3 linked regions of the Astyanax mexicanus genome follow. The protein of the gene in region 1 purifies or fractionates together with the protein of each later gene. This does not show direct contact. Links are inferred from orthologs where the notes say so. Each region holds a gene or a part of one and is shown in the gene's direction. Other genes may lie near its edges.

What was found.
Region 2: the proteins of rpa3 (region 1) and zufsp purify together in Homo sapiens (affinity purification with western blotting; 3 studies listed by BioGRID, with this or other methods). This does not show direct contact. The link is inferred for Astyanax mexicanus from reciprocal best matches to the Homo sapiens genes RPA3 and ZUP1.
Region 3: the proteins of rpa3 (region 1) and smarcal1 purify together in Homo sapiens (affinity purification with mass spectrometry; 3 studies listed by BioGRID and IntAct, with this or other methods). This does not show direct contact. The link is inferred for Astyanax mexicanus from reciprocal best matches to the Homo sapiens genes RPA3 and SMARCAL1.

What each region holds. Positions count from the first base shown.
Region 1 is NC_064410.1:35,612,516-35,620,213, forward strand, and holds the start of rpa3 (replication protein A 14 kDa subunit), read left to right. Parts: upstream 1-4,590; 5' UTR 4,591-4,736; coding exon 4,737-4,835; intron 4,836-6,537; coding exon 6,538-6,612; intron 6,613-7,698. Other genes in the region: umad1 (UBAP1-MVB12-associated (UMA)-domain containing protein 1), read right to left, coding at 2,716-2,797. UniProt on the Homo sapiens protein: As part of the heterotrimeric replication protein A complex (RPA/RP-A), binds and stabilizes single-stranded DNA intermediates that form during DNA replication or upon DNA stress.
Region 2 is NC_064411.1:31,760,791-31,768,053, reverse strand, and holds the start of zufsp (zinc finger-containing ubiquitin peptidase 1), read left to right. Parts: upstream 1-4,230; 5' UTR 4,231-4,364; intron 4,365-6,008; 5' UTR 6,009-6,021; coding exon 6,022-6,556; intron 6,557-6,652; coding exon 6,653-6,760; intron 6,761-7,263. Other genes in the region: kpna5 (importin subunit alpha-6), read right to left, coding at 726-827, 2,628-2,756. UniProt on the Homo sapiens protein: Deubiquitinase with endodeubiquitinase activity that specifically interacts with and cleaves 'Lys-63'-linked long polyubiquitin chains. Shows only weak activity against 'Lys-11' and 'Lys-48'-linked chains.
Region 3 is NC_064418.1:40,252,863-40,260,749, forward strand, and holds the start of smarcal1 (SWI/SNF-related matrix-associated actin-dependent regulator of chromatin subfamily A-like protein 1), read left to right. Parts: upstream 1-4,799; 5' UTR 4,800-5,446; coding exon 5,447-5,722; intron 5,723-6,695; coding exon 6,696-7,044; intron 7,045-7,887. Other genes in the region: marchf4 (membrane associated ring-CH-type finger 4), read right to left, coding at 1,059-1,424. UniProt on the Homo sapiens protein: ATP-dependent annealing helicase that binds selectively to fork DNA relative to ssDNA or dsDNA and catalyzes the rewinding of the stably unwound DNA. Rewinds single-stranded DNA bubbles that are stably bound by replication protein A (RPA).

The sequences.
Region 1 (7,698 bases):
GATTTAGTAAGAAGGCTTGAAACACTGGTGTATTTACAGTGTTTCATATGCTGGGACTGCCCTGATTCTGAACCCTGAAGGAAATGTGAGATTTCTGCAGCGGCCTATATAGAAAACGGGGTGAAGGACATACAGTAATAGATCAGGAAGGAGAACAGGCTCTCCAAGTGCAAGCACTGAGAAAATCCAAACGTTGCCTTATCTCCTTTCATTTGCAGCGTTGAGTTACAACAATGGGCAGCAGATTCTCTGCTGAAGCACAAAGCACTACTGTGTTGCCCTCTTATGGCAAGTGTGTATCACTGATGTATAACTGTATTCCTAAGGGGGGACCTGCCCAGCTTACCCAGGTGGGGATAACATGAAACTAGAGACCTGTGTTTGTGCTGCCTTTTCCTCAAGTAACCCTGTCAGACAAGCATACAAAGCAAACTATACCGGTAGTTAGATATATAGTCTACCATTCAAAAATATACATTAAATATATTTTTGTTCTTGTATTTAATAACAACTTCTACAATACTACTTATATACAGAAGCCAAAACATAAGGAGTGAACTACTACTGTAGTTTTTTATCCTATAAAAATCTTAAGTAACAGCCGTTGCTGTGTTTTTTCTTAAAAACTGCTACTAGGTCTATCACAATAACTATGTTTGGAAAATTGTACAAAAACTGTGGCTTCTATAGAGGTATATAGAAGATTGAAGATTGAAGTTTGAATGTGAAACGCCTATTAAGTCCTATTTCACTGTTAATATTTGTACCGTTTTATTAATTATTGTTGCTTTTATGTTGGAGTACCATAAATCATTGATATAAGAAAAGTTTAGATATTACTGTAGCCTGTAAGCAGCTTTAAATCCATTTTGTGTCTTTTTGTTTCCCCTTGTTACACCTTGGAAAACTGATAAAAATACAAGTCAGAAAAAATATCTAGATTTGGACGCTGCTATAAACAATATCACTCAATATATGACCATTTAATGCATTTTTTTTTAAATGATATGAAAATAGCATAATAATGCAATTATACCCTTTTAAAGAGCAATGGAGTTTTAATAATTACAAATGCTCAGAAATGGGACAAAAACTGTCTACATATTTGTTTACATAGTCATTTAATTAAAATAAAACTATTTAAAAATAAAGTGAACAAACTGGCTCAGTCACAATAATGGGACCTCCTTAGTAAGTACACACATGTAGTATTAAGGTGAGAAAAAAATGATTGGGATGTTAATAATGTAATTATTGTGACAGGTAAATGTTATTTTGTATTTATGTAGTTTAGTTATTTTTTATAAAATCTTTACATTAACATCCAAAAAATAACTTAAATAGCTAAAGGACATCTTCATTGCATGTTTTGTCATTTTATCTAACATAATATTTTAGCATCACTTCAGATATAATGATTTATGGCAATAGTACAGCTTTTTGACCTATACAAATAATTTACTTATTGTTAACAGTTTTATATAGCCCAACTAAGTAATAAAAACTATATGCAACTGTACAAAAATTGTAGATTTACCCTAAATCAGACTGGTTCTTTTATACTGAAATTATTGTTTTTGTAAAACAACAGCTTCTATATGTAAATTAACACATTTTAAAACAGTACTTAGATTAATCACGTTAATTCAATTCAACTTCCAGCCCTAACTGCACCAGAGAGGAAACCTAACAGTGTGTTTCTCTTTCTTTCTACAACCTTTTTTCTGATATACACTCCAGTGAGAAACTAGTCACACATTATCAATTGTAAGCAAGTTATTTTTAGGTGTGTAGTAATTAGATAGGTTAAATGTTCACATAATTGTGTTTAACTTATAATACTTAGGCTACTTTCACATTGCTAGGCTGAAGTGACTCAAATCTGATTTGAAAAAAAAAATGGATTTGGCATGTTCACACAGCCATGAAAAAATCAGATCTGAGCCACACTGAGCAAAAAAATCTGATTTGTGTCACTTCAACCTGGTAATGAGAATGTAGCCGTTCATGGCTGTGTGAATGTGCCAAATCAGTCAACTGAGTCAGTTGTATATGTGGTCCTAAATCGGATACGTATCCGATTCGTGAACATGTGGCATGAATGTGAACGGTAAAATCGGAATTCATGCGTCTTTATGCTTTTAAGCATGCGCTACGTGCTTCTCTCTCGTTCCCACACATCTCTAGGTGCAGCTGTGCATCTATAGCTGCAAAAACAGCAAAAGCAAACCACTGGCCTTTTTTTACATCCTCGACCTGAGCATGTTCTTCAGATGAGCTATTTGCTCTCTACTTGAGCAAAATATTCTTCACATATATGGGCTGCTAACGCATCTATTTCACCTTAATAAAGCTACGAGCCGTCACTCAAATATGTCGTTTTTTTGTTGTTGGTGAAGAAGGCGATGTTTATACACGTATCGATGTGCGCATCCGATCTGAGCAAAAAATCGGATTTAAGCAATGTATTTATTATTTTATCGACTGGGCAAAAATACGTACTTTTTTTTATTCAGTTGCGATTTTTTTAATAATTCACATTAACATTTAGTCCCCTTTGAGCTTTTTATATAAGTGTTTTTTCAACATCCTTCCTGACAAAAAAAAAATAAAACTGAAAAATGAGTCACTTCCTTTCCAGAAATCTCATTTTACAGCACACGGCCGACTTTTATTGTTTCAATTCTGAACCAGTCCTTAAACTATAAAACTCACCAATAATAACGAACCCATCTGAATCTTTCTCGGTCGGAGACTTTTTCGTCGAGTCTTTCTTAAACCCGAAGAAACTCAACATCTTCCTAAAACCGAAACAGAAAGAGAGTCAGGTTAACAAGTGAGCTTAGCCACTGTTAGCTATGTCTGCTAAACAGAGGATAATCAAACACATGAGCTCATTTATATCAGTACAACTGCACCGTTTTACGACATAAACTAGAGTAAAACACTGAGTTTAACAGGATTTAAAGAGAACTAACACACAGTGAGAACAAACAAACACGACACCATGACATTCAACACTCACCCAGAACCGCTCTGATTCCTTTAACTACAGAAAAACACGAACCTGGTCTAACTAATTAAACTGATATAACTCTAACAGACTGATACAGTCACTCCGCTGACACTCTCTATCCCTTCATTTTAATATTTTCGCATTTTACGGCAAGTTTACAGCTTAAAAAGTTGTTGAAGTTTTTTTTTCTGTTTACATCCAGCTGCTCCGACTCTTCAATTTTACAGTCCGACTGGAAACAGAGCCCGGAGAGGCTGGATAAAAAAAAAAAATGATTTACTCTAATATTGATGTTAAATACACATGATACTTATGTATAATTTAATATATATTTAAAATGTCTAAAACTAAAATATTTATATTAGAAAATATTTAGCTTTCAACGAAACAAAAAAAAAACATTTAGTAAATATATAGTGTGATTATTTCCAAATAACTTAATTATTGTAATTTATTTTTCATTACAATTGTATAGATGAAAAAAACTAAAAAAATATTAACCTAGACCACATTACGAACGTTTTTTTAGTTCCTGGTAGGAACTAAAATACTGAAACGGTGTTCTGTCGAGTTTTGCTACCCATCGATATGTGCTTGTTTAGGACAGTGCGCATGCGCCGACCAACATTTTTAAATATGTTTTCACGTTTTTCATGATAATTCCTTAAAGATTTTATTGGGCGCATTACACAACCTGCATGTAAATAGCAGTTGAGAATAATAATAAACTATAACACTATAAAAACGGTTTCTAATCACGTATATGCCTTTAACTTTTTAACTTAACCTGATACATTTATTTAGCCTATCCACATATCATACCTAGACTTCTACTGAGAGTTTTTTTTAATAATGTTTGTAATATGGTGCTGTTTTTGCATGTTTAACTTATTAATCAATAAATAGTACTAGGGTATCACGGTTTGACAAGGTAGCACAACTCGACAGAACACCTGCCCACTTCCTACTTCCCTCGTCTAATCCGAAATGACTAGTAAACGCTAGAGGGAGCCCGCGACCGTATCCTGGAGATAAAAAGAACTAATTGGCTAAAGTATCAAATAGTAACGAACAACTTGTCTAGGATTTTCATTTCAAAAGTAGAAAAGTATTTTTCTAAAATAGCAAAGCAAACGCAACTGCATATTTTCTTTTTTCTACAGTAAACAGTTTTAAAAAACTGTTTAATAACAAAAAAATAGGTTATACATACAAAGCATGTGCATTTAACATCAAAACAGCAATACATAAACATGTTTTATTCAGCACATATTGGTTATACATGCAAATAATGTTTTATTTAATATAATTAAATTTTATATATAGTTCTAAAGTGAGCACATTCAAGATTGTATTATAATTTCCAGTAGAAGGCAAAACATTTAGTAAAGTTGCTGTAGTAGATGTAGTATGACTATTTCCATATTATTGCCATTAAATTGTCATTATAATTTTTATAGACGGTAAAAACAGTTTAATAACATTAATATCAGCCACATTGTGAATTTATGTTCGGGTAGGAACTAAAGTGCTGAGCCGGGTTTTGACCCGCTCGGAAACACGTGAAGCAAAAAAGGAAGTACGTCAGAATTTCCCGGGATAATTTTTGACATCTTTTTGGCGCGGTTTGTGTTTGTGAGTCGCAGTGTTTTTTTTCAGGCAGTAGTTTAAGTTTATTTAGTTTGAAATACGGATTTAGACCCTCTTTAAGCCGCTGAAAATGACGGGCGTGTTCGAGTCTCCCAAGAGCAGGATAAACGCGGCGATGATTTCTCAGCACGTCAACAGACCGGTGTGCTTCGTAGGACGAGTGGAGAAGGTGAGGAGTGAGCGGGTGCTATCAGACTCTTTAATCACTTTAATAGATATCAGACTTCAGTGTTTAGCAGCAGTAAATAATTTATCTGTGCTGTGAATCAGGAAAAAATCACTAGGACTGCCCCGATAGATACTAAACTATAACTAACGTCCAGGACTTTCCCCGCAGCTTCTCAGTGTATTCAGATAAAGACAGGGTGAACTAGCGTAATGCTGGGCAGTTATTTTAATGCAGATTTCTGAAATTTAGTCAGAATTAGTAACGTTATATCAGAATGTGTTCTCATTAAACAAAATGGGAAATGGAAGCAAAATACAATCGTGACAGCAATGGAATATTGTTAGTCCTCTCTTAGTTAAATTTAAAAAGTCAGACAACAGTACCAGTCTGAATTGTATATATAAATACTAAAGTCATCCATACTATGACGAAAACATATGGAATTGCTGGTACCACTGTAAAATAAGGATCCTTTATAAAGGGTTTATAAAGGAGTTTTTTAATAGTTATACATTTTACAAGTTGTAAACACTTTAAAAACATTAAGGACATACAACACACAAATAGAAAGACAACAGTAAAAACAACTTTTTTTAAACATATCTAATAAAATAATATAGAAATTCAGTTTAGTCATTTAATATGTTGTTATAGTAAAATTAAAAAAATATTAACAAAATGTTAATAATGACTGATGGAAAAGGCAAAGTAAGATTCTAGTTCTAGTAAGATCTGAGGTTTAACAGTATAAAAGTGTACTTGGAATTACTATTTGGTACACAATAGGCCACTGTGGCCCTTCCTATTTACATGTTGTAACTGCTTTTTTTTATAACTTACTTAATAACCAACTCCTTTGTACACTGTTTATAAATCCTTTTTAAAGGAACCTTATTTTAAAGTGATACCGATTTTTTTATTGAACAAAAATGTGTCAAACAAACCAGAATATGCGTGTTATATTTTAGATTCTTTAAAGTATCTAGAGTCACCTGGAATAGCTTTCAATAGAGTCCAAACTGGTACTGACAGGTCCTGTGTATATGAAGTTTTAAAATTGTATTTATTAGAAATACAATAAGGCTCATACATTTCTATTATGTGATTCAGAAAAAGTAAAATAAAATGCACAACTCTTAATGGACCAGCTCTGATTTTATAACATTTAAATGTATAAATGTAATGTGTGTTTTTCACCTAATTATTAAGTTTATTCATTAGATAACTGAAACACAGGAAATGATGCTCTCTTGTGGCTAAATGAGGTCAGATTAACAAAGCTGTCCCAGAGGAGTCAAAGCTGTTATTGGCTGTTTTTTTTTTTTTTTTTAGTTATGTATATTTAACATAAAGTGACAGGCTTTGGCATAGAGTACATAGAGAGCTGACAGCTGAGAGACTGTGTTAAATTCTTCAAGGTTTCCTCTTAACCCTACAATATGATTATCTTCTGAAATGTCAAAGGTATTATTTATGTACTTACCTTACTGTTTTGTGTCTATGGAAAACTGTTTTCCCCCTATTCTAGAAGCGCCACTAGGTGGCGCACATTGGCCGTATTTTACACTGCATGTGTCAAATCCTCACGAAGTCCCTAACATCTAGTAAAGGCTGTTTTCCCCCCAGCCTTCACTCTGTTGTGTCATTCTAATGTATGTTGCTTTTAAAACCTTGCTTAAAATGTATGTCCTCTTTTTAAAAGGTCCATCCTACTGGAAAGTCGTTCACAATGACCGACGGAGAGGGAAAGACGGCATCAGTGGAACTCAACGAACCAGTAGGTGCAGTTATTTCATTGCAGATGCTGAAACACTTAATTAAATGAGTGTAAAATAGGGCTGCAATTAATGACTATTTTGGTTAATTTAACTGATGATTGTCGATTATTGGTATGATTAGTCGTGATTATTTTTGTCATGCCCTCCATTTGTACTTCCTACTGGTAAGGACAGCTAAACCTTTAGGCCCCAAGACCAGTTTTGCGGCACATTTTGATAGTTTGATGTACCTATATTAAACCTAAAATTACAAAGTATATTATAGGAAACATTCACACAGACTGGATGTTGTTTTCAGGAGATTCTAGAATACTTGTATCTATTTTTCACTTTTTTATTTTACTTTTTTCCAAGGAGAAACCTCCCTGAAATAATTGTTTAAAAAGATTTTTTTGTAACTATAGTCTGTAGTAACTATTACATATTTTTAAAATTTTAATGAAGTGGACAGTGTACAGTATCTCTAACACTTATCCAGCTAATGTCAGTTTAACTAATGTTAGTAATGTTAATGAAGAAGTAAAGCCTGTTCAAACTCACCTCAGCAGCTCTCTGCATTAATTTAACTCACCATGGGTAATAGTTAATAGAAAAGTCAGTGTTTAAAACTGTACAGAACTAATAAAGATGAACTGTAGGGTATTGTGGAGTAAGATGTATTCGCCACTGACTAATTGCAACTAAGTCCAACTAACTGTTGATCTTTATTCTCATACTACAGTCACTGTGTATTTCTTTGTATGACTTGTCACATTAACAGTTTTTGTTTGGAAAATATATAGTGGCAGAAATTATTTCAATAAAATAATTTGTCAATATTTATATAGGCAATATTTGGTACATGTCAATATATTGTGTGATAAATCAATAGTGTAATTATCGTAACAGGACAAAGTGATTGACTGTTAGTCTTTCTTAGAGTTTATGATTATTTTATGAAATGTTTCGCATCCTTACTGTACGTAAGTGCTGAATTATATTGTATTATGTATTGTTTAAAGTATGAGTGTATGTATGTTTGTATGTATTGTTCAGATCAGTATACTGTGATTAGCATTTCATCAAATTGCTATAATATTTAGCAA
Region 2 (7,263 bases), on another chromosome or scaffold:
AGTTTAAAATATATAATCCAAATTCCATTTCTCATTTGTAACCCTACACCTTGTTTTTAAAAGAACCATTCCCCTTTGAACAGAGTAATAAGGAGAAGGAGTAAAATCCCTTCAAGAACCCGATACAGATAGTTATAGCAGTGAAGCGCTAAAGTCCAGCAACCTCGCTGCTTGTTAACTAGAAAGCTTTAGGGTATTGTATGCTTTCAGAAAAGAGGCAGGTGGTGAAGCAATTATTTATTATTTTTAAATTCCTTAATTCCTTTGTAATGGGGAGCTAAAATAAGCTTTTATTTTGTTTTTCTGTTCCATGTTAAAGTGCTGCAGCCTCTGCTGTTTGCTTAAAGGTGGACCGGAATAGTTAGCTAACTAGCTATCTAGTGAGACAAACTACTAGCTTTTTTATGCTTGTTATGAGGGAAAAGGCCTGAAAACATGTAAACTACACATTATATTATAGTAATATTGTGGTTAGTGTAACTTGTAACAAGGAAAATACTCAAATTTGTGGGTCTTCTTTGGTCTGTCTCACAAAATCTCAGTTTAACATTGTCATGTAGCTCTAACACTTCCCTCTACCTCTCTAGCCTAACAAGAATTAGGCTAACAGTGTAAAAGTGGTGAAATGGGAATGTACCATTTCTAGTGCTCTCCTGGATAAAAGCATGTATTCCCAGTTCCCAGCCAACAATTAACAGCACTTGGAGCATTAATAATACACTTACTCCTGATATGGGGACAGTGGAGCTGACGTCAGGATCCTGAATGGGGCACTCTAACATGGACTCATCACCCGGCGGCACATAAACATTCCTCCTCTTGAACAGCTGCAGTTCAGGAATAAAATACATAATATATAAAAAGAAAGATAAATTCATAACTATTTTACACAGGATACAAAAAAACATTCTAAATAATCTCACAAGTTACCATCTGTGTGTGATTCCAAAAATATATATTTAACTTGCATAGGTAATTTGTGTGAAAAAAACTAAATACATAAAAAAAATAAAATACATAAATAACAAGCTATTTACTATTTATGTTAGTCACATCACACTCTTTTGAGCTTTTGTAAAACTTTAGTAATGGTGCACAGTTACCAAAACAGTGTTTGAAAGATTTTGGACACAAAGTTATGCAAAACTTATGCAAAAGTTTTGCATAACATCTTTCACATCCTCCACCTAGACATACAACTGTTTGTATTCTGAATTTATCGTTTTAATTTATCATTAATTGCAAAATGAATATGTGAAATTTCATTTTCACCAATATGTCATTTAATTGCAAAAATATGCTGAACTACATACATATTTTATGTACAGCTCTGGAAAAAAATAAGAGACCACATTAGTTTGTAAAGCAGTTTTACAATTTTAATATTTATAGGTATTAGTTTGAGTAAAATGAACATAATTGTTTTATTCTATAAACTAAAATCTCCCAAATTCCTAATAATTCTCAAATAATGCAAAAGAAAACAAGTAAATATTTTTTATTAAGATTTAAGAGTTCAGAAATTAATATTTGGTGGAATAACTCTGGTCTTTCATCACAGTTTTCATGTATCTTGGCATGTTCTCCTCCACCAATCTTACACACTGCTTTTGGATAACTTTTTGCCACTCCTGGTGCAAGAATTCAAGCAGCTTAGCTTGGTTTGATGGCTTGTGATAATTCATCTTCCTCTTGATTATATTTCAGAGGTTTTCAATTTGGTAAAATCAAAGAAACTTATTTTGAAGTGGCTTTTATTTTTTCCCAGAGCTGTATATATAAACTTATACGTTGTGCATGGCTGAAACAGGCAATTCCACATTCTGTTACTATGAAATCTCATGCAGTTGCATTGTTTGAACACCAGACGTCAGATTTCTGCTAGTGCTGATCCGAAAACCCAGAGACCTTTCTAAGAAACATCAAAAGGAAGGCACCTGCCCATCATATGAATCGTATGTACAAAAATTGTTGGCCTAAATGAAACAAAGCATAGTTGTTTACCAAATCCAGATTATGCCTATATTCATTAATTTGTAACTACATGAGATCTCTCATGTGAGTCATGTCTGTGTTAAATTCTGTAATGATCTACTGAGCACAATGTGAGATCAATTAGGATGCTCTCCTTGTCACATGCCTACAACAAATGTTGGTCACTCTGTTTTGCTCGATTGCCCCAAGATATTATATAATATGATTTGTGGTTGGCATGCAGGAGAATCTGGAGTCATGTAAGAGGTGGGACATCTATTACAATTACACTGCCTAGCTTTAGAAGAACACAGGATAAATTACAGTTTTCCTGGTTGAGGTAATGTTACTTTTAACATAAGTACAGGAGCAAGCTACTAAATGAAGCTGAAGGGCAGAGTGTAACTGCTAAAAACATGGGTAAGAAGAGTATTTAAAACTTTCGGGAGTTTATCATTTCTGAGCTAAAAACAGCCTGTGTGTATGTGTGTGAGTAAGAGCAAGAGAGAAAGAGATTAGGAGGAAATATTACAGGATTTCAGACTAATACGAATTAATAGGAACAAACCACTGGACGTGGTCCAATTCCACCCTTTGGATTTGTCTGATTCTGCAACAAAGTGTACTTGAGTAATACTGCTTTACAGGCCTACCTGTTCTTCTCTCTTCTGTTTCCGCAGCTGGATGCCCTCTTCCTCCCTCCGTCTTCTCATCTCCTGCGGGTTCAGGGCCTTGTTCTTGTAGCTTTTCATTCGATAACTGTCTTTTCCTGGACTCGCCATTTTTGTTGTCCTAGTGGTCATACAGCAAAAGCTGATCAAATTGGTCTTGCACGCTGTGCAAAAGTTTCAAGTTTATAAGTATATAAAATTCCAGACATTTTTATTTCACATTTAAAACTTGCACTACATGATGATGGCTCAAAAATGTCATCAATATCCATAAATTCTTTCGACTTTCTTTTCGATTACAATTTAGATTTTTGGCTCTTACATAACATCAGTTATTTTAATATGTGACTATTAACACTCACAATATGCAGATCAGACAATTAATAATAACGCCCCCCTGCTGACGTCCAATCATCTGGGTCTCACTGCTATCAGAGGCATACTGCTGCAGCAGTAGCTCAGCCAATCAGCTCTCTCTCCTGCCGCACCTCTAAACCCATACATCACTCAACGCCCCTTCCAATTTTTAGCCTTTTTCCAAATTTGAGCTGAAGGTGGGGTCATCAAAAATCAGGGGGTTTAGTGCCCCTTAAAGACACTTTTAAAGCACAACAATATTTAACAATCCTTTAAGTGGTGTAGACAGAACATTAAATAATGATTAAAAAAATCTCAAACTGTTTTTATTTTATTTATTTTAATATGGAAAAGCTGAATATAGTTATACTAAACACATTAGCATAACTGTATGCTAACATTAGCTAGCTAGTCTCAGCAGCCAATATTATAGAAATACCACAAGTTATATTAACTATACAGCTTAAAAATGTACTGTATTTAAAAGTTAATCTGTATTTAAAAAATAAATCAGGTGGGATTTTGAGTTCTAAAACTGGTAGCGCTAAATAACAGCTGGTTTATTAGTAAGCTATGATAGCTAGCGTTAGCTAACTAAGCTAGCTAGCTAGATGCCAGGTGGGGCAACACAAAACTGAACCCACCCATTCCACCTTAAAGAGTAGAGTAGTTACCATAAACATATATGAGCAGTTAAATTCTGGAGTCTGCAGGATTTAGCTGGCACTGCTGCCCTGTATAAGGTGGAACGGACAATTAGATTAAGAAGGCAACTCCAGCATTTTGGAGCATTAAACAGCACCCAACTAAGATGTATGTTAGCATTACAAGCTGGTAAACCAATGTAACTGGGAACAATGTGTTTTAATCCGCACTAAGAAGGAAATTTATCTGTTTTTTCTTGGTTTCGCAACCCAAATATACCAGCTTTGCTCGCTAGTGCTAACCTAACGCTAGGTTAGCAGAGCTAATGCTAAGCTAGCTAACCTACGTCACTCCGCCTCTGCCCTCCTTTCTCAGCGTAATTAAAGCCCCTAATCACCCTTAACCCAACCTAAAGTCACACCGGACGGTGACTGAGGCTCACCTGTTCACTTCTAGACCCCAGTCCTGTGCGGATAGTCGCTTTTTTCGTGTTTTATTTGCTGTTCCGTTCCTCTCGCCTCCTTCCCGATTCACTCCGGCTGAGGAGGGCAATATGGCGTCCCCAGGTTACGGCCGAGAAGCGCGTCACTTCCCGCGATGTTTCCAGCGGGTCAGGCGAGGAAAACGAAAATAAAGAGGCTGAGTTTCAGTGAAATGAGAACCCGGAGAACCTGAGGTGCAGCGAGAAAAACTGATTAACAGGTTAAAACAACTCGAGTAAGTATTTAACCTACACCATTTAAATGTAGCTAGATATGCTGGAGGTTTATCTGTGTGTTTCTATTGTCTCTGAATGGTTGAATATGATTGAATACATTGAAGGGGCTCATTCATTCTGTCTAAAACATGCCATCGTCCTCGTTTGATTAAAAAAGCAACATATTTCTGACTTCTAGTGCACGAACTTGCATGTGGGAGTGTTTATTTAGATTTAGATCCCTGCTGTAAACAAAACTGCACAGCTCCAGCTGGTTAAGCTAAGCCGGTTGACCAGTTTAGATTTTGTCCAATGTAGAGTATGTTTCTGTTTTTGTTAACACAGACTTTGATGGTTTAGTTGCTCTACAAGCATGACAAACCAAAAAAAGCTAGCTAGATATCCAAACTTGACCATGCTCTGCGACCAAGCTGGATATCCAGAATAACCAGCATGTACAAGCTGGTCAATCTTCAAAACAAATAATACCAAGCCGGTTGACCCGCAGGACCATCCTGACCAAGCAGGTTAGCCAGAATAACCAGCCTGACCAAGCTGATCGACCAGCAAGACCCGCCTGACAAAGCAAGTTGACCTGTATGACCAGCATTATCAAGCTGGTTGGCCAGAATAACCAGCCTGACCAAACTGGTTAACCGTTAAGACCAGCCTGACCAATCAGGTTAACCAGAATAACCAGCCTGACCAAGCTGGTCAACCTTCATAACATTCATTACCAAGCTGGTTGACCAACAAAACCAGCCTGACCAAGTATGTTAGCCAGAATAACCACCCTGACCAAGCTGGTTGGTCAGAATAACCAGCTTGACAAAACTGGTTGACCATCAAGACCATCCTGACCAAGTAGGTTAGCCAGGATAACCATCCTGACCAAGCATGTTGACCTGTATGATCAGCACAACCAAGCTGGTTGGCCACAATACCCAGCCTGACCAAGCAGGTTGACCACCAAGACTAGCCTTACCAAGCAGGTTAGCCAGAATAACCAGTCTGAATAAGCTGGTCAACCCTTATAACAATCTTTACCAAACTGGTTGCCCAATTGTTGATAAATATGGTAATTTAGTTGGCCAAGGAAGTGTTGCAATAGGCATTCCTGGTAAAACCCTTGATGAGTTTAAAACCCTTAATGAGTTAGCATTATCCTGTTCCAACTGTTCCAGTTGGAAGCCCTGCCGTGAGAGGCATCACGTGGCACATTTTAGTGGTTGTCTGTTGTATCACCCAGCGGTTGAGGCTTTTCTTAAAGTCAATAAGGTTTTAGTCCTTATCAGTCCAGGTTTCCTGGTCACAACACCACTGTAAAGGGCGACGTTTGCTGGATGACTGGCTTATGGTTTGTCAAAAATGACCATCCTGCTTTGCTGAGTCCATTGATGTACCCCATTTTGAAGTGAACTTGGCAAATGTCTTCACATGCATTGTAGAAGCAGGTCTAGCAGTCAACAATCTCTCACCAAGTGATACACTACTGAAAAGTAGCCCCTGAGAGACTTTTAATGTAATGCAGTGGGAGAAGCACTTTTACGCCCCTTTAAAAAGCACATTATTATAATATAATATAATATTATAACAGTACAATTTTGAGATGCTTCATGAAACACTTACTGATTCTGCACGTTTACTATGTACTCCACTGACAGAAGCTGTCCCACCATGCCTGTTTGTGACATCTGCTGCCAAGAGTTTGCATCTGAATCAGAATTAAAAACCCACCTCCTTCTGAGCCACCTGGAAAATGAGATGAGCTGTCCGTTTTGCTCGCTATCAGGAGTCTCCTACGATGAGCTGAACTTCCACATTAGTACTGCACACACAGAGATGGATCTTCAGAACTCACCCACTGACAAGGCATCAGCAGATCGGGTACCAGACCCCACTGAAACCAATGGTGCTAAATGGACTGTGAAGAATTCGCCAGCCTCTTGTAACTCATGGAGAACTCCAGCTTCCCCTCAAACATCAGGTCATCACACTCTCAAAACAGCTAATGAGACGGCTGCGCCTAGTGCAGGAATTGCACTTACTCAAGGTCAAGGAGCCCAGTCCAGGATTAAATCCTCACCTCCTGCGGCAAGCACAGCAAGCGCATCTAAAAAACAAACATCCAGCGTCCACCCTGGGCAGTCTGAGGATTACTCAGCAGAGCATTGCAAGGCCAAACAGAAACGCCTGTCCTCCCCCAAGAAAGGTATTCATCAATAAAATGTCTTAATATATTCTTATATTTATTTTATAGTGGCCTTTGTTTGGATATGTTTGGTTATTTATGGTCGTTTTGTTGCAGAGAGGATGTTTCCCTGTCCGTTCTGCAGTCTGGTCTGCAGTGACTGCTTTATTCTTCAGGAACACGTTGAGCTGCATCTCCAGGACCAGGCTTCATCTGCATCTGAAGGTAGTATAGCGATTGTTACTGGTGTTTTTCAGTGATTTTAGTCTGGTGTAAATGTGCTATGATGCTCCTGGGTCTGTATAGATTCTTCTATTTATTTGTTAAATATTATTAAATATTGCCTATTTTCTCAGAGTGTACAGAGGTGCTCAAGAATAGGACCTTGGTGAAATGGAAAAAATAATCTTATCACAATATAGTTTTCCGTGTCAGTCGATATCGATATGTATCACCATATAAATCAATCACTGTCACACTTAAAGGGTTCTTTTTACTCATAAGTGAGAGATAAGGGAGTTATTTAGTCAGAAGGTAACAAATGAACATTATATAACTATAATATATATATAAATAAATAAATAAATAAAAGCATAACACTTCATTCAAAGATCAGATGTTACAGAATAAAAAAGTAGGCAGAGAACTAAATTCTTTGGTCAGTTCCAAATCAATAAAACCTATCATACAAAATAAAGTATTCTTTTCTTTTTATAACAAAATCTTCA
Region 3 (7,887 bases), on another chromosome or scaffold:
AAGCAAAGCCTACAAAGACATTCTTAAAGTTTTGTTAGGAGAAATAAGCCACAATCCCTCCAACACATTGTGCAGGACTGATTACCAGCCTCTGAAAACATTTATTAAAGTTATTGCTCCTCAAGGAATTTACACTAGTTACTGAAAGCAATGTCTCACAAACAGGGTGCAGAAACTTTTGTACTATGATCTGAAGAACGAAAACTGTAAAAAAACTAATGTGTGTATCTACAAATATTCCAAATAAGTCCTTAACCCAATACAAAGGTTGTGAAAGGACCAACAAAAACAATTTATACAAGGAAGCCCACTAAGGATAGAGGAATGAGCCAAAATGCCTCCAACCTGTTACTGGAAACATCTAAATGAAGCTATGGCTTCCAATGATGAACTTCTAATAGGCCATTTTTATAAACAGTGTAGAAACATATGCTTAGCCCAAGATCCATTTGGGAACCTTTTTGATGTGTTTTAACCCTCTTTGGCATTGTGTTGCCCTCAGGCAAAATAACTCTTTTATGATCATTACACATTCATGTCACAGTCTCAGAATGTCACATTAAGAATAGGTGTAAAAGGGGGAGATGCAATACTTTCAGGAATCAAAACCATATGAGATTATTAATTGGATTATTAGTTATTAAATTGAAATAACTAAAACATGAACATGTGCATTACATTTTTCACAATAGTTTTATTTTAAAATGTATATATTTGTATAAATTGCTTGTTTTCTCCCAAATATGTCATGCATATATACAGATAACCTTAAATTAAAGTACCCTTTGGAATATTGTTGCCTTGAAGCAACAAACTAATTATGATTGATCCAATAACAGGGAACCCCCAGCTTCCAAAAAGTGATATAATTATTATAGTGATATAATAAATATAAAGTGCAATATTTTTTTTTCTCCAAAAAATAATAAAATTCATGCCATAGAGGGATAAGACCACAGTGATAGTGGATAAGGTATCTCGTACTGGACTTTTTTTTCATTACTATAGCCATATCAAAAATCAGAGCAACTGTCTCAGCTCTATAGGTGTGTCCCTACCTGCTCTGGTCCTTGGAAGCATATCCTGCACACAGGTACGCCCTCAGCGTAACTGATGAAGGAGAAGCGCTCGTCGTGTTTGTCCCTTTTGGAGAAGTCCTCAGCTGCTGTGGGCTTCTGTGTCTCTGGCCCCACAGGACACTCTGTGGAGGGGACACTCCAGTGCTGGAGCCGGAAGCTGGTGTTGTTGTTGTTGGCGGCGCAGGAGCACTGGTTGCCTTCGCTTTCACGGCGTGTGTCTGGTGGTCCGCTCATGGGGCTGAGCACAGGAGGCGTCTGTTGAGCCTGGGGGACCTGGGAGGCCTGTGGCCTGAGCAGGAGCAGCTTCAGGTCACTGAAGAGAACACAGCAGCGGCCCTTCAGCATGCCGGGTGGAAAATCAGCATCCACCACTTGAGTTAAAAACTACTGTAAGAAGCGGATGCTGATGCTGCCCAGTGATGCTGGTGACTGTCAGGTTTCTTTATGAAAGTTTGTACTATGGTAAATCTGGAAACTATAGAAGAAAAGTATAAGTGTATCTCCAAGTAGGTATCCTTTTTGGTAGTAGTCCTTTTGATCACTCTAACTTGGCTTCATCGCTGAAAGCTCATTGATCTTTTTCATCCACAGAAGACACATGTATGACTTTATCCAATATTCATCCCCAGTAGATATGGATTGTGTAAATGTAAGCAGGTGTCAGAAGCCATGGGATTCATTCAAAGGAAAAATAAAACAATGCTAAGAAGCCAGGAGCAACTTTCCAGGTCCCACGACAATGGCAAATGATGGCATATTAAGAAAGTAATGATCTAACATAAGTAAGACAAAAACTCTTGCCACATAAATTGTCATATTTTTAGTCTTTCTGTATCATCAGCATGTTGAGTAGCCTAAGGATCCTCCAGGTTCTCCAGGTTTAAAAAATCACAGCCAGCTCAGGTCCAGTCCACTAGTCCACTCCACTCTGTGCAGGCTAGTAAAGTGCCCGATGTCCTCCCCTAGTTTCCAGCACTTCTGCAGGCTTGTTCTCCTGTCGCTGCATCTTTATCATCTTTATCACAAGGCGAACGTGTAGGTTCAGCTTCTGCTTTATGTGCAGGGTACTTCACATCTCTCTTCACATCTTCCTGGGAGGTTGGCTGCCTGCACTTCCAGCACAGTTCATCTCAATCCCTGCCCATCGTCACCAGCAGCAGCTTTCAGAAGAGATACGGCTTAAAATCCAAGCATGGAGCTGCAGGGTCTGCTTTCCCGCTCAGGTTTTGTGTGGCAGGACTGGTGCTGGAGTCTCTCTCTCTCCCTCCCTTGCTCTCTATCTCTCTCTCTCTCTCTCGTATTTGTTCGTTCACTCTCTCTCTACCAATCTCCCTCTTCCCTCCCTCTCTCACTCTCTCTATCTATCTCTATCCTCTCACTCTTTCTCTCTATAACACACTCTCTACCAACCTCTCTCTCCCTCTCTCTCTATTCTCCCTCTCTCACTCTATCTGTATCCTCTCTCTCTCACACACACTCTCTATCAACCTCTCTCTCTCTCCCTCACTCGATCTTTCTCTCTGTGTCTCTCTTTCTCTATCTCTCTTTATTCTCTTTCTCTTTCTCTCCCTCTCTCTCTCTATCTCTCTCTTACACACATACTCTCTACCAACCTCTCTCCTCACTCTCCTCTCTATCCTCTCTCTCTCTTTCATTGTGTGCATGTCTCTCTTTCTCTACCCCCCTCTCTCTTTCTCTCTCTCTCACACACTATCTCTCTCTATCCCCCCCTATCTCTCTCTCTCTACCCCCCCCCCCCCCCCCCCTCTCTCTCTGGCTCTGCGGTTTCAGCACCGCTTGGCGGGACAGCTCCCCAGCAGCAGCGGCGTCACTCAGACCTGCGTGACGCTCCTCAGCTCCTCCCCGCCGCTGCGGGAGATCAACACCCCCCTGTATTATCATTAGTCTCCAGCCAACACTGTTTCCCTTTCAAACTCGTTACAGAGATCACTGAACTGCTGGTTTGGCGGTTATCCCCATTAAAGTTTGGCTGTATAAATTTTATGGGTCTAAAACTGTGTAATTGCAGCCTAGAACCATTTCTTGTCATTTATTACTTTAATTTGAGGCTATTTTCTGGTGGTTATTATGTCATCTTAAACAGACATTAGTTTGGCTAAGTAAACCAGTTTACTGGATCAGGTTACAATAGATTATACAATAGTAATATCCCACAGTTTTAGGTCATTGGATGAATAAATTAATGAATTAATGAATAAATTAATAAATGAATGGGTAGGCTGGTGGGCAATTAATTGGGTGGATGAATGCACGAATCAGTGTGTGGTGGATTGATGTGTGGATGAATAAATTAATGAATGACTGGGTGTTAAAATGAATTGATACATTAATTAATCAGAGGTTATGTTGGTGGGTAGATGGGAAGATTAGCTAGATAAATCGACAAATTAGTTAATTAATTAATGGAGTAATAATTGGGTGGGTGTAAAGATCGATGAATTAATCATGAATAAGTGTGGGGGTTTGGGGGGATTCGTGATTTAAACTGTTTGCACTGTAGGTGGTATGCTTAAAATAAATTCTATTGTTCATGAATAAAAATAGATAATCAGACTTTTTAAACCTTGTCATCCAAAACATGTGCATAGTTTTGTAAAATGGGACTTGAACAATAATACAATAATACAATAATGGACAAATCAATGCACAAAGCATATAGCACAAACATTGGAAATGCCAACTGCTTTTTAGTAAAATAAAAGAATGAATCCAGATTAAACATTTTGTCAGGTTTTTGAAGATAAAAATTCCAGTTGGGTTTTTACTTCATATCTGAATAATATTAGACATTAACTATGTGCTGATGCAAATCTCTGTATTCTAGAAATCCAATCGGAATTAAATCCATCCACTACCCACATATTCACCCTGACACCAAATATATTTCATCTTTTGATTTGCCTCTTGTTGTTTAAAAAAAAAATTATTGCAAAAAATAAAAAATAATAATTTTGTTAATGTTTTCACCTTTGCTCTTATTTGGAAATACAAATACACAAACCAAAAAAAGTCTTATTAGAAAAAATAATTAATAAAAACTTTTTTTTTACTATTTATTTACTTATTCGTTTATTTATTTGAAAATTACAGAACAATAGCCTGTAGTATTTACTCAATAAATTCATAATATTTGCAATATACTCAACATCTTTACTCATCTGGATCTGAATATGAAAAGGTATATAATTAAAAGTCTCTCCAAGAAATTAAACTTAAATTAAAAGAAGATAAAAAAGCTGAGGAACAGATTTTGCTTAACAGAAAGAAACCGCACATATTTAGAAATGTTGCGATTTTAAATGTGTTTTGTATCTATTATGTACTGTCTTCAATCCTAGTTTTATTGGACTTTTATTGTTATTATTATTATTATTATACAACCGCGCTGGCTCTCCGCCCCGCCTCCTGCAGATCGCTTCCGGTGTCCTGTCGAGTTATGCAACCTTGTCAAATCGTGGTACCTTAGTTTTTATTTAAACGTAAAAATGCAAATAAAACACGCTTTAAGAAATCTGCGTCGAATGGCATATTTAGATAAGCTAACTAACTCTTTTAAAGCCAACTAACTGTTTAAAAATAAAAAAGTAAAGTTACGGTGATGAGACGTGATTAGATAAATAGTTAAGTTATATTTTGTATTTTTTAATCGCTTATTATTGCTATTTCTTATTCTTAACAGCTAATACAGATTTGTATCACTCAAACACAAAGAACAACAGTGAGTTGACCTTTAAAGCACACAAGATGAAGATCAATTGAATAATCATAAATCGTAAGAACTTGAAAATATCACAAAAATATATAATGTGGATCCGCGCAGGCGCACTGGTGTAAGAAACACATATCGATGGGTAGCATAGCTCGACAGAACACCGGCTGTTGGGCGCTAAGGTTGAAAGTTGAGCTGAAGTTCTGAACTAACGGCGGAATGAGGAGGAAACCGGTTTATTACTGAGAATTTAAACACTTTTCTACACAGATCCTGATCTGTAAACACTCTCTACAGCATTCACACCTGTTTACCGCGCAGATAAACACACATAACCCTGTACAGATTACTGTACAGACTTATTTACAGCGCTAAGCTAACCGGCTAATCGGCTAACAGGAGCTTCGCCGATGTAAGCTAACTTAAATAAACAAGCAGCGGAGAAACTGACTGAGCGGCACCATGACCCGCTGCACTAAACTTGAACCACACACCCACCTTTTATAATAACAACCAGCTCCACCAGGCTTAATGTTTAAACCAGGCTCAATGTGGTGAGCTGGGGTTATCTGCTTAAGCTGCGCAGCTCCAGTCCAGGATTAAAGCGAGGTGACATCTGAGTCAGTTTTTCTGACTGATGGTAGGAATGTCCAACACTCTGACTCCTGAACAGAAGAGGAAAATCGAGGAGAACCGTCTGAAAGCGCTCGCAAGAAGAGCTGAGAGACTCGCACAAGGGAATCCACAGCCTCTTCAAAACGACCTCTTCTCCTCCAAGCAGCAGCAGCATGCTTCCTCTCCAACACCTCAGCCCCGTCCAACAGCAGGACCATCCAAAAAATACACACCACCTTTACCCTCACACCGAAACAACCCTCAGCCCTCAACAAGCAGAACAGCCACTGCCAGACAGGTATGAACAGTCTGTGCCCTTACTGTGTGCAGTAGGGGTGGGCAATATGGCCCTTAAATAATATCACGATATTTCAGGACTATTCAAGGATTTTGACATTGAATTAAACTTCAAATGTGAAGTTTAACTTGAAATTTAACTTCAGAAATACACTACTGCACCAAATTAATATTTAAGTAACAAATACAGTGCATTATAACATGCAATATTGGCACTGCTTTGGAGAGCTGTGATGAGGTTTGGTTACAGTGCATTACTGGCTGATAATGGCACTCATAGACCTCCTCTCAACCAATCACATTGCAGGGTCGGAACTACCTGTGGTATAATACATTTTATCAGGTGATATTATTGCATAGGATATCATATGAAACACCCTTAATTGACACTTTTACCACATTGTAACAAAGGTCAATTATCCAACATGTAATAAAACTAATAATGCACTCCATGTATCCAGGATTGAGGAAAAATAAATGATACTGAACAGATATAATCTGTCTCTAGTAGATATTTAACGAGAAATATGAATGAGTGAAAGAGTGTACTCAACATCTGGATAGGGCTGCAAATAATGATTATTTTGGTAGTCGACTAATCTGATAATTAGGACTTGAATGAAAAGAGGTGTGTCCACACTTTTGATTAGTACTGTATATTATCAGGATTTTACCAATTAAAAAAAAAATTCTTTTAAAGTTTTAGATTTGAGCATTATTTTAAATTGGTCTCTTATGTGATTTTTGTAAATTTATGGAAGTGTTTTATTAGTCTGTTCACTGTGACATTTTAAGCAATATTTAGAACAACTGCCACATTCTCATTATATCAGCAAGTTAAAAACTGCTAAAAACATTTTGGAAATATTCATGTATCTGCAAATAGTGTAAACAACAATTGTTAATTCAACAATCAAACATTAGTCCATTTAATGGTTTACACAGGTGTGTGTATTTTTTTCTCTTTCTCTTAGATCCAGGTCATAGATGCTCTTCCCATCCCTAACAGACACTTTCCAACAAATGAACCCCAGACTTCAGGTCCTTCAGCTAGTTCCAAACCTCCTGAGGTCAAACCTGATGCATCGAAGGGTACCTTCAAGGCCAATAGTTTCTATGGACAGAACCAGGGGCTGACTGCCCAACCATCTGACAAGAAGACACCTAAACCACCAGACACTTCCTCTGCTGGACCTGCTAAGAAACCCACAGTGTCTGTGAGGGGGAAATGTGTGCCACATACGGAGGAGCGGTTTAGAGTAGAGGTCGGCTACCATGCAGAGCTCATTGCAGTGTTCAAAAACATACCGTCCAGAAACTATGGTAAGAAAAATACTTTACACCAACCAATTCACTCTCAAACATATATTACAGGTCACATATGATATCTATCTGTAATAATTTTAATTAAGAACATTACAATAGGTAGGCTAAACCTAAAACCTAAAACTCACTGCAGTAAGTGACAAAAGCCTACGTTGAATATTAGGGCTATGTATTGGCAAGATTTTGACGATACAATTCAATATGTCACTGTTTATTGCAATACAGTAAGCAAGTATATATATTTCGATTGTTTAAATTTATTTTTCGGAAATCTGATAGTTTGAAAACACTTATTCTTAAAATCTTAGTAAAAGAAAAGTTTACTTTGTATGTAATCAGAACAATTTAATCTGCACTGCTATCTATTTGTCAAGTTATCTAAGTGGTCCAGCGGTCTAAAGGGCTGTCATTAAAATCGGGAGATCGCTGGTTCAAATCCAGGTCATGCAGCTTAAATAAAAAAAAAAATAGTTATGGGAATCCAGTTATGAGAAAATGTTAAACAACTACTTAAAAAACAATTGAAAAAAGTTTTCAACAATCCTGACATGTTATCACAGAACCTACAGGTATCTCCTGCCATAGTTGTTTATTATGGGGGTCCTTACATACTAAGAATAAACATAGAAATACAATACGATATAATATAACAGCTGGTAAATGGTGTCTTTGTCTACTGATAGAGGGATTAATATTGCAGCAATTTTAGAGCAATTAGTGATTTTGGTAAATTGTGTTGTGTGGCGATTGAAATATTTACTACACTATATATATAATATATACTACTATATGCTTTGCTTACCTACTTCAATTTATTTGCTTGATACATAGATGACTTGA